Linked DNA regions of Xenopus tropicalis. The protein of the gene in region 3 interacts with the protein of the main gene of each other region in a biochemical or structural test. Links are inferred from orthologs where the notes say so. Each region holds a gene or a part of one and is shown on either strand. Other genes may lie near its edges.

What was found.
Region 1: the proteins of glrx5 (region 3) and bola3 form a complex in vitro, tested with the Homo sapiens proteins (4 studies listed by BioGRID and IntAct, with this or other methods). The link is inferred for Xenopus tropicalis from reciprocal best matches to the Homo sapiens genes GLRX5 and BOLA3.
Region 2: the proteins of glrx5 (region 3) and bola1 form a complex in vitro, tested with the Homo sapiens proteins (2 studies listed by BioGRID). The link is inferred for Xenopus tropicalis from reciprocal best matches to the Homo sapiens genes GLRX5 and BOLA1.

Annotation. Positions count from the first base shown.
Region 1 is NC_030679.2:121,246,050-121,249,811, reverse strand, and holds the start of bola3 (bolA-like protein 3), read right to left. Parts: upstream 2,829-3,762; 5' UTR 2,808-2,828; coding exon 2,772-2,807; intron 928-2,771; coding exon 804-927; intron 1-803. UniProt on the Homo sapiens protein: Acts as a mitochondrial iron-sulfur (Fe-S) cluster assembly factor that facilitates (Fe-S) cluster insertion into a subset of mitochondrial proteins. Probably acts together with NFU1.
Region 2 is NC_030684.2:128,792,281-128,796,042, forward strand, and holds bola1 (bolA-like protein 1), read left to right. Parts: upstream 1-958; 5' UTR 959-1,070; intron 1,071-2,749; 5' UTR 2,750-2,758; coding exon 2,759-3,202; 3' UTR 3,203-3,439; downstream 3,440-3,762. UniProt on the Homo sapiens protein: Acts as a mitochondrial iron-sulfur (Fe-S) cluster assembly factor that facilitates (Fe-S) cluster insertion into a subset of mitochondrial proteins. Probably acts together with the monothiol glutaredoxin GLRX5. May protect cells against oxidative stress.
Region 3 is NC_030684.2:88,818,920-88,821,222, reverse strand, and holds the end of glrx5 (glutaredoxin-related protein 5, mitochondrial), read right to left. Parts: intron 1,054-2,303; coding exon 875-1,053; 3' UTR 586-874; downstream 1-585.

The DNA.
Region 1 (3,762 bases), on a different chromosome or scaffold from region 3:
TAGAACAGATAAACAGTCGGTAAAAATGGGAGATATTGAAGGTCCCATCACATGATCAACTTTTTCTTTCAGCTTTTTAGAGCTTAGTGGCACATTCAGAAAAAGTATTATTTTATACAAATGCTTACTTTGTCTGACTTGTTTGCAGCTCATCTATTTTTAACCCCCCACCAACTATTTAACTGTATTTTACAAATTCCACATAATGCACTAAAGGTGGATAGCCAATCAATCAGCCTATAGGGCAAAGGAAGGGATACCATAGGAGCGGCCAAACGTGCTATAGCCACCTTTCACCTGTTCTCTGTTCCCTCATTCAAGCCGACAGGCAGCTGTTTTGTGAAGACACCTTCATTTAACATCTGTACAGAAGCTACCTAAAGGTGGCCATACACAGGGCGATTGTAGCTGCCAATATTGGTCCCTTAGACTGATTCGGCAGCTTACCGGCTCGTGCAGGGGCAGAAACGACAGGCCTGTCTGACCAACATCTGGCCTGAAATCAGGCAGATATTGATCGGGCAGGTTAAAAAATTTAATCGGATCAGGGACCGCATTGGGTCGTTGATGCAGTCCCCAAACCAATTGCGCCTATTACCGGCATTCTAATTCGATCGTTTGGCCCTGGGGCCGCTTGGCGACCGGATGTTTACATGTATGGCCACTTTTACTCTATGAATCTAACTAGGAAGAACAGTAATATTCTGCACCACAAATATAGCCCTGAACATACAATTTGTGAAACCATACCATTCAGCTTTCCCTATTCCCAGTGAGTAACTTTAGGAAGTTTGATATCTTACCTGAAATATCAACTACTCTAACATGTGAGGCCAGCGGAAACTTGGCTTTCAGCACCTGAGTTATCTTGTACTCTCCCTCTGTCTTGGAAGCGAAGGATCTGTTTGTGATACAGCGGATACATGTCTGTGGATCAAACATATCAAATATGAGTATTTGAACACAGCCGACACATAAAACAAATGACCAAGTACTCTTTACCCAACCCATGACCGTAGCTGAAACAAGCCAACATTTTGCACTTTAGTAATTAAATAACTACAACTTCCATCATCCATCCTACAGATTAACTGAGGGAAATTAAAGAGATTCTGTCATGAATTTTATGGTGTACTTTTTATTTCTAAATTACACTATTTACATAGCAAATAATTCACTCTACCATTTAAAATTGTATTCTTGAGCCAACAAATGTATTATTTTTAGTTGTTCACCTTTAAATTAAATTTTAGTATTACACAGACTGATATTCTGGGACAATTTTCAAATGATTTTCATTTTATGTGATTTTTCAGTTATGTAGCTTTTTGTTCAGCAGTTGTCCAGAGTGGATTTTCAGCTGCTACCTGGTTGCTAGGGTCTTGTTTACTGTAGCAACCAGGCAGTGGTTTGAACGAGATACTGGAATACGAATAGGACTGAGACTTAACAGAAAGATAAGGATTAAAGGAACAGTTCCATGTAAAAATGAAACTGGGTAAAATAGATAGACTGCACAAAATAAAGTGTTTTCAATATAGTCAGTTAGGCAAAAATGTAATCTATAAAGGCTGGAGCAGATGTCTAACATAATAGCCAGAACACTACTTCCAGCTTTCAGCTCTCTAACCTCTCAGTTAGTCAGTGACTTTAGGGGGCACAAGGGACATAACTGTTCAGTTAGTTTGTGAGCACGCAGGTCAGATTCAAACGCAAACTAACTAAATCGTTATGTCCCATATGGCCCCCACAAGTCACTGATTGGTTACTGACACCTAATAGTTTAAAGAGCAATTATTCAAACACTCACATCTATAGTTCATATAAATCTGCTGCTGTATAGCCATGGGGGCAGCAATTCAAGCACAGGATACATCATAGATAAGCTCTGTAGAATCCCACTGATTATATAACAGAACATATCTGTTATCGGCTTGAGTAACCTGTTTTTTTCTCCTTTTTTTTTAGCATTGAATGGCTGCCCCCATGGCTACACAGCAGCTTGTTTATATAAACTATAGTTGTGTTTCTTAAAGGAACAGTAACACCAAAAAATGAAAGTGTATAAAAGTAAGTAAAATATAATGTGCTGCTTCCCTGCACTGGTAAAAGTTGTGTGTTTACTTCAGAAAGTCTACTATAATTAATATAAATAAGCTGCTATGTAGCCATGGAGGCAGCCATTCAAAGGAGAAAAGGCACAGGCACATAGCAGATAAAACACTATTGTATTCTACAGAACTTATCTGTTATCTGCTATGTAACCTGTGCCTTTTCTCCTTTTTTCCAGCTTGAATGGCTGCCCCCGTGCCTACACAGCAGCTTATTATATAAATTATAGTAGTGTTACTGTAGCAAACACACCAGTTTTACCAGTGCAGGGCAAAAATTCATTATATTTTTATTACTTTAAAGCTCTTTCATTTTTTGGTGTTACTGTTGCTTTAAGAAAACACACAAGCTGTACCAGTGCAGGGCAACAGTACATTCTATTTGAATTACTTTAAAACACTCATTTCTTGGTGTTGCTTTTCCTTGAAATCATATCTAGGGGTCAGTGCTTCACTACAGAGAAAGGTGTCTCGGCAGCTGGAGGGATCTAGTACAAGGTGTAGCTTAGCATTCAGTGCAGTCTGCCCCCTAACATTCAATAGACTTGTGTGGCAGTGCCAGTATTGCCCTGTGCCGTATAACCCGCTCTGCCCTGTAGCAGCCCCTCGCACTGTATAACGAGTTGGGACTGTATAGCCGTTGCTGGAAGTAAGACTCACCCTGCTTGTAGCGAATACATTCCTAGCTGCGTACATTGTACGTGCACACACCGCGATCCCTTACTTGGGATTTCAATGTTACCGTACAGCAAACCTGTCCATGAGTCCTTGGCTGCTGACAGTCCCTAGCGGCGACTCGTACTCCGGCGAACGTCAGTCACATGTGACGCACGGCGTCCTCATCACGTGGTGCAGATTGAACGTAAGAGCGGGAGCGGCTATAGAGCAGCTGGCCAGCACCCAGGGGGGAGATATATAACAACTCGGTTGTTTTATGTTTGTTCCTCTCAATATTTTGGGGGCAGCGCGCTATGACAGCATGAATCCCTCGCCCCCTTTGCTATTTCTTGAACGGGACACGTTTAGCGTTCTCAAGCCGACAATGACCGCATGTATGTCAGATATGGAGCGAAGTGTTGCCTAAGAGTAAGAGCTCAATAGCTGACTGAAACGCCTGAGCTGCCCCGTGACGTCATGCTGCAAGCGATGTCATAAGAGTGGGAAAATGAAATAGCGGCCTCTAGCACACAATGGTACAGCACGACTTTTTTGCTGACTGTTTTATTTCAAAATAGTTTGTTAGGCTGATGCCACACGTGGCGTTTTTACGCTGCGTATTTTCTAATTCAGCGGCTGAAAAACACACGATATCATCATCCATAGAAATAACTTGAAAAGACTCAAAGCAAACCACACAAAGCGGAAATACGCTAGAAAATGCCTTAGCACGGATTTTTCAGGCGTTGGCTGAAATACGCCAGTATTTGCACAGCAACCTATTCCTATGTATACACAAAGGCAGCTGCCAGACCTAGCTGAAATACGCGGCGTATTTTGCACTATTAGCACCATGGAAACGGGATTTGCTACGTCACCAGTACTAGGGTGAAAAACGCCATAGTCAGGGGCTGTGTGGCTTGTGCGGCGTTTTTAGGCTGAGAAAAAAACGTAGCGTAAAAACGCCACGTGTGGCATCAGCCTTAACTGGCAA
Region 2 (3,762 bases), about 40 Mb from region 3:
TAGTGTTAATAAGCAACTCAAACCCCATATACCATAATGGCTAATGGCAGGTTAGGCCATAGGAAATATTATTGGTAATATTATATTCCTAATGTGGGTCCAGGCAGATTTCAGCGTAATTGTCCCCAATCCATTTGTCTCCTTCTTTAAAAACCAATGTTGACACGAACGAAACCTTTTTAGGAAACCACAAAGCCCCAAAATCATAATACTTGACCCTAAAAACAGTTTGGCTATTCATTATTTTGCCCCTGAGCTGAGAATGGTTCAGTCCAAAAGTGTCAGTCCAGATTTGTACAGCGCTGCGGAACATGTTGGCGCTTTATAAATAAATGTTAATAATAATAATAACAGTCTCCTGTTGGGTTCTGGGAGTTGCAGTTCACTAAGGTATGGAGCCTGCAGACCCCTATTCTATAATAGTCCTTTTTTTTTTTTTACCATATTTATCTATATTGATTTTTATTTTATAATTCCTTTAGCCAGGCAAAGCCTAAAGCAAAGCAAGATATAATAACATTAAACTATTACAGCAATTAAGCAACTATAAATGCGAAGCTAATTAACCGCAGAAGAGTAAAAGGTAACCAGACAATTAGCTTATTAGGGCAATAAATGCCGTATCACAGTTAAAAAAAAGCAATGCTGCCCCCTACTGGCCAGAATGTATATTAAAGCGCTTTACTTCTATAGCGTTCAGTAAAATTAAACCAGGTAAAGGCCCCATGAAACGGGATTTCTGTTTTGCAAATACCTCTGTTAAAATACAACAGTTGTGTTACGATGGCAGGGGCCGGGTAAAAACAAAGTTCAAGCTAAGCCCCGCTCCTGTGACAGAAGCAAACACGGCCGCGGGATTTCCTCAAAGGGTTTCAATACAGTGGGATTCTGGGAATTGTAGTTTATTAGCCGCATTAAGGTGAAGAAGGAAGTTGGAGTTACAGCACGGAGGAACTACAATTCCCTACGAGACAGGACGCGTCCTCTGACAGAACGCGGAAATACGCTCTGACCTAAGATTGGCTGTTGACCATAGGATTCCCGGGCCGAACCATACCAGGACGCCTCAGGTACCATAATATTACTGTTATTATTGGCTAATGCCTAGACTCTATACTCTATTCTGTTATCATACCGCTAGGAAGTAACCCATAGCAACCAATCACATTTTTGCTTTCATTGTATTGCCAGCTGGCTGAGCAAATGGAATCACTGATTGGTTGCTAAGGGTAGCTGTCCAGGGGCACAGTGTCAGGGTAGTTTTATTATCAAGATATTGTTTTTTTATTAGGTTACAGACTTGTGACAGTGCAGGGATCATATTTTGTTTCTTCTTCCTCTGTTCCTGGATAGTTATGGGCTGCATTTAGGGTTGCCACCTTTTTTCCCCCAAGTCTGACCAGGCTGCGGTCCAGGGAAGCCAGTGACTTCATAGGGGTGGGAATGGGCACATTGGGGGCAGGGTAGGGTTGCCACATTTCTTGAAAAAAATACCGGCCTTCCTATATTATTATGTTTTTCCCTATTAATAACATTGACATGAAGAATAATTTTTTCCGGCCAGGCCTGTAAAGTACTGGCCAGGTGGTAACTCTAAGGCAGGGTGTGGGTGGATCGGGGCAGGTATGGGCTGATTAGGGGTGGGAAGGACATGGATTACAAATTTACTGGCAATTACATTGCCGTATTACCAACTTGGTGGCAACACTAACTGCATTAAAGGTCCCCATACACTATAAGATCCGCTCGCTTGGCGATGTCGCTAAGCGAGCGGATCTTCACCCGATATCCCCACCTATGGGTGGGCGATATCGGGTAGCAAGGGACTTAAAAAAAAAATAATCCCTGGGGCCAAACGATCGGATTACATTTAAGGTTATGGGGCAGTCGGTTCGGGGACCGCATCAACGAGCCGATGCGGTCCCCGATCCAACTGGATTTTCTAACCTGGCCGATCGAGATCTGCCCAATTTCAGGCCAGATATCGGTCGGCCAGGTCGCTCTGTTCTGCCCATACACGGGCCGATTAGCTGCCGAATCGGTCCAAGGGACCAATATCGGCAGCTATAGTCGGCCCGTGTATGGGGGCCTTAAGTCACGAAAATATTTTGTTGGCCTCCACAGATAGAGCCTCACAAGTAGTCCAAGGGCATTGGCACATGATGCCCATACAAACACTTGTAATTAGAATTGTGGCAGTCGAAGCCTCAGTTGCCTACAGGCCCCACGATCACTCTGAGGTGATTTCCATGAGGGGCAATATTGGCCAAAAGCAATAATAAGCTCACAGTTACACCATGTGCCTTTGCTCACAATGTTTTTAAGCCTGAAATGCAGGGGATCCCCAACCTTTCTTACTCGTGAGCCACAGTCGAATGTAAAAAGACTTGGAGAGCAACACAAGCACCATAAAAGTTCATGGAGGTGCCAAATAAGGGCTAAGATTGGCTATTAGGGGCCTCTATGCACACTATCAGCTTACAGGGGGGCTTTATTTGGTAGGAAATCTTTTTTTTTTATTCAACCAAAACTTGCCCCCAAGTCAGGAATTCAAAAATAACTCCCTGGTTTGGGGGCACTGAGAGCAACATCCAAGGGGTTGGGGAGCAACATGTTGCCCCAGAGCCACTGGTTGGGGATCACTGCTGAAATGGAATCCAAATGCTTTCTGGGTAAGCACACACAAAAATATAGATGTTTCCTACTATGTTCACATATAAGTAACTTGGGATTTCTCTTTGGCCTGTAGCTCCTTCCCATGCTGATGCTACCGTTGAGCCTGCTCCGAACTAAATGCAGGATACCTTGGACACTGGTCACATTGCCGTATTCTAGATCACAGCTTTACATGGAGAGGCCAGTGGAGAACGCTATCCGATCCAAACTGACTGAGACCCTGAAGCCCAGCCACTTGGAGGTGCTGAATGAGAGCTATATGCATGCGGTGCCCAAGGGCTCGGAAACGCACTTTAAGGTGGTGGTGGTGTCGGAGAGCTTCCTCGGCAAGTCTCTGATCCAGAGGCATAGACTGGTGAATGAACTGCTGAAGGACGAGTTAGCTGGTCCTGTTCATGCCTTGTCCATCCAAGCCAAAACCCCTCAACAATGGGAGGAAAACCCTGCCATCAGCAAAAGCCCAGCCTGCATGGGGGGCTCGAAGCATGACCCTGAGATGGGCAGGAAACTTGGCACTCAAGTGTAGATGTGACCCCTCTAATAATGGGAACTTATATGTGAGATAAAGCAAAACATCTGATAACTACATTTTACTATTTCTGTAAAGAACTGTGAAAATTGTTAGATAAACCTGTTTGTGACCAGCTGTGGGCTGCGTACAAAATGGGTGCAGAGCGCTTCTGTACGTTTATGTGGTAGTCAATAATGGGTTACGGTGATGTCCCTGTCAAATGTAGGAATTAAATCATTATGTGCTGATAAATAGTGCTGTGTTTATTTCATATACTGCTTCCTCCCTGTATGCCAGTCTCACATTCTAGTATTGGCATTGTTACAGTTCCTTTTGCAGTGCTCTGAATGCCTCCTGGGGCAATGTATAAATGGAGAAGAAAAGCAACATCCAGTTTGGTGATGTGCAGGCCAGCCTGAAACCTGTGGGCATGCAATTTTAGCGGCGTGTGCGGGCTCCGTCCACAACCCAACCGATTCCTCCAGTGGCTGCCTGCCATTAGCTTATTTATATACTTACATCTGCTTTCCCCCCTTTTCTGACTTTACAGATGGACGGGTCAGGCACAGATATAT
Region 3 (2,303 bases):
GCCGGTGGGATGGTAGTTCGGGGAGATTAGTCGCGGGCGACTAATCTCCCCGTGTGCCAGAGCCCTAAGGGGCTTATGAGTGGCTATATAGTTTTTGGAGACTTAGGAAGAGGAAGCAACAGGCAGAATAAGTTGTGAAATCCATGGAAATTTCATGCCCCTTAAAGGAGAGAAGCAATCTTTTGAGAATGAAGGGAGGCCTAGAGAGCAACCTCCCTCCCACTAAGGCCCCTTAAACTCTTATGGAACCATCAGCCCCACTGGATCTGTGCAACCTGAAGAAAAAATAACATCAAGGACTTCATTTTATCAGCCTGTCTGTGGATTGGTTACATATGGACTATCTGTGGGACATTCTGGATAAATTCTGCCAGTTGGTGGCAGGTCTCTTTTTAACTTATGGCTTAAAATGGCACCAATATCTTGTGCTACTTACTGATTAAGATTACTAGAAAATTCTATTCCTGACCCCCAAGTTCTCTTGCCTGATAAAAATATCATGTTATGGTGCATGGGTCAAAAAGGCCTATTACATGCTGTTCCAACTCCTTTTAATAATGCAACAAAGTCTAAACAGGCAAGTGATAAACCTGTATATTTTATTGTTTACAATATTTTCTTAATGTAAATTTTTTCTTTCAACACATCAGTGGTCATTATCTAAATATATTACACAAATCTATTCCATGGCAGAAAGGCTTCTGCACAAGTTGGTGGAGGTCCTCCACCAGGTTTGATATATTAATAGAGAACATTACATGGACTTCTTTTGGACATTAGAGCATCTGTACAACAGTTCCTCCAGGCAAATAAGGCTTTTCTGGTGCAATCAGGCCTTTATCCTTTTGACATATAAAGTTTATAACACAGTGCATTACTTTTTCTCTTGGCTCGGTTCAGCATCTAATAGTGCAGAACGAATCCCCAACTTATTTAGCTCTTCCACAAGGTCTCCATTCTGATGCATCTGAAGTAGAATATCACAGCCTCCCACAAATTCACCATTAAAATAGACCTGAGGTATGGTGGGCCAGTTTGAATAATTCTTTATCCCTAAAAAAACAAAAGAGAAATCTTAATTGCATAGAAGTCATACCCATCTGTGTTAAAATTATACAAACACAAGTGGATTATGTGCTGTTATATGTGCTATATATATTTATTGTACAAGTCTGAGGGGATAAGTCCTAGATGGCAGGCATATATCCCCATTTTTTAGGTTCTGAGCCCTTTAAGAACCACCCCTTTAAGAGACCCAACACAGGGTGTGGTCTGGAAAACCAAGGGGGTTTAAGGAAGGGAAAGGCAGTTGGGAAAGGTGTGGAGTGTGAAAGTAGAGTTACACATGAAAGCTGCTTTGAATGCACCCGAGTTCCGCGAAACAAACCGGTGGGTTTGAGCCGTTTCCTTATCGACTAAAGTAAGTCAAACTGGTTTAATTGGGCTGCCCGTGGGACATTTTGTTGGTAATACCTGCTGTGTTTTTGTATTTTGTTTGCTGAACACAAGCTATTTTTCATTGCCCTTTTTGCTGCCTTTTTGTGTTAACAATAAATGGACTGTTTTTGGGAAGTTTGGAGTAGCCTGCATTTGTGCTGCAACCCTGCTGTGTTCCTGCAAAACATCATATCATATATATATATATATATATATATATATATATATATATATATATATATATATATATATATATATATATATATATATATATATATATATATATATATATATATATATATATATATATATAATATTATATATTTATTTATATATATATATATATATATATATATATATATATATATATATATATATATATATATATATATTATTATTATTATTAAACTCAACAGTAGAAAGCACTCACAGCTACAGCATCAATCAGGTCAGTGATTTATTTCAGCATACCATCTACGCGTTTCGATCACCACAGGATCGTCATCAGGATGGCGATGACGATCCTGTGGTGATCGAAACGCGTAGATTGTATGCTGAAATAAATCACTGACCTGATTGATGCTGTAGCTGTGAGTGCTTTCTACTGTTGAGTTTGATGCATTATTTTTGTCAGCACCCAGCCTGTGCCCGATACTGGCGAGTGCCGATTCTTTACAAGACTATATATTATAATTATATATATCAGAGGATAATTCGACTTTCTGGACTGAGAGCTCTTCTCTACTATAATATACACATATACTGTGAGAAATAATGACTGCATTAGAATTTTCATTTATACATTACAAATATATTAAAACCCCCCAAAAATTAAGATCAGTGTGTGAGGTAACAGAGGGCCCAAT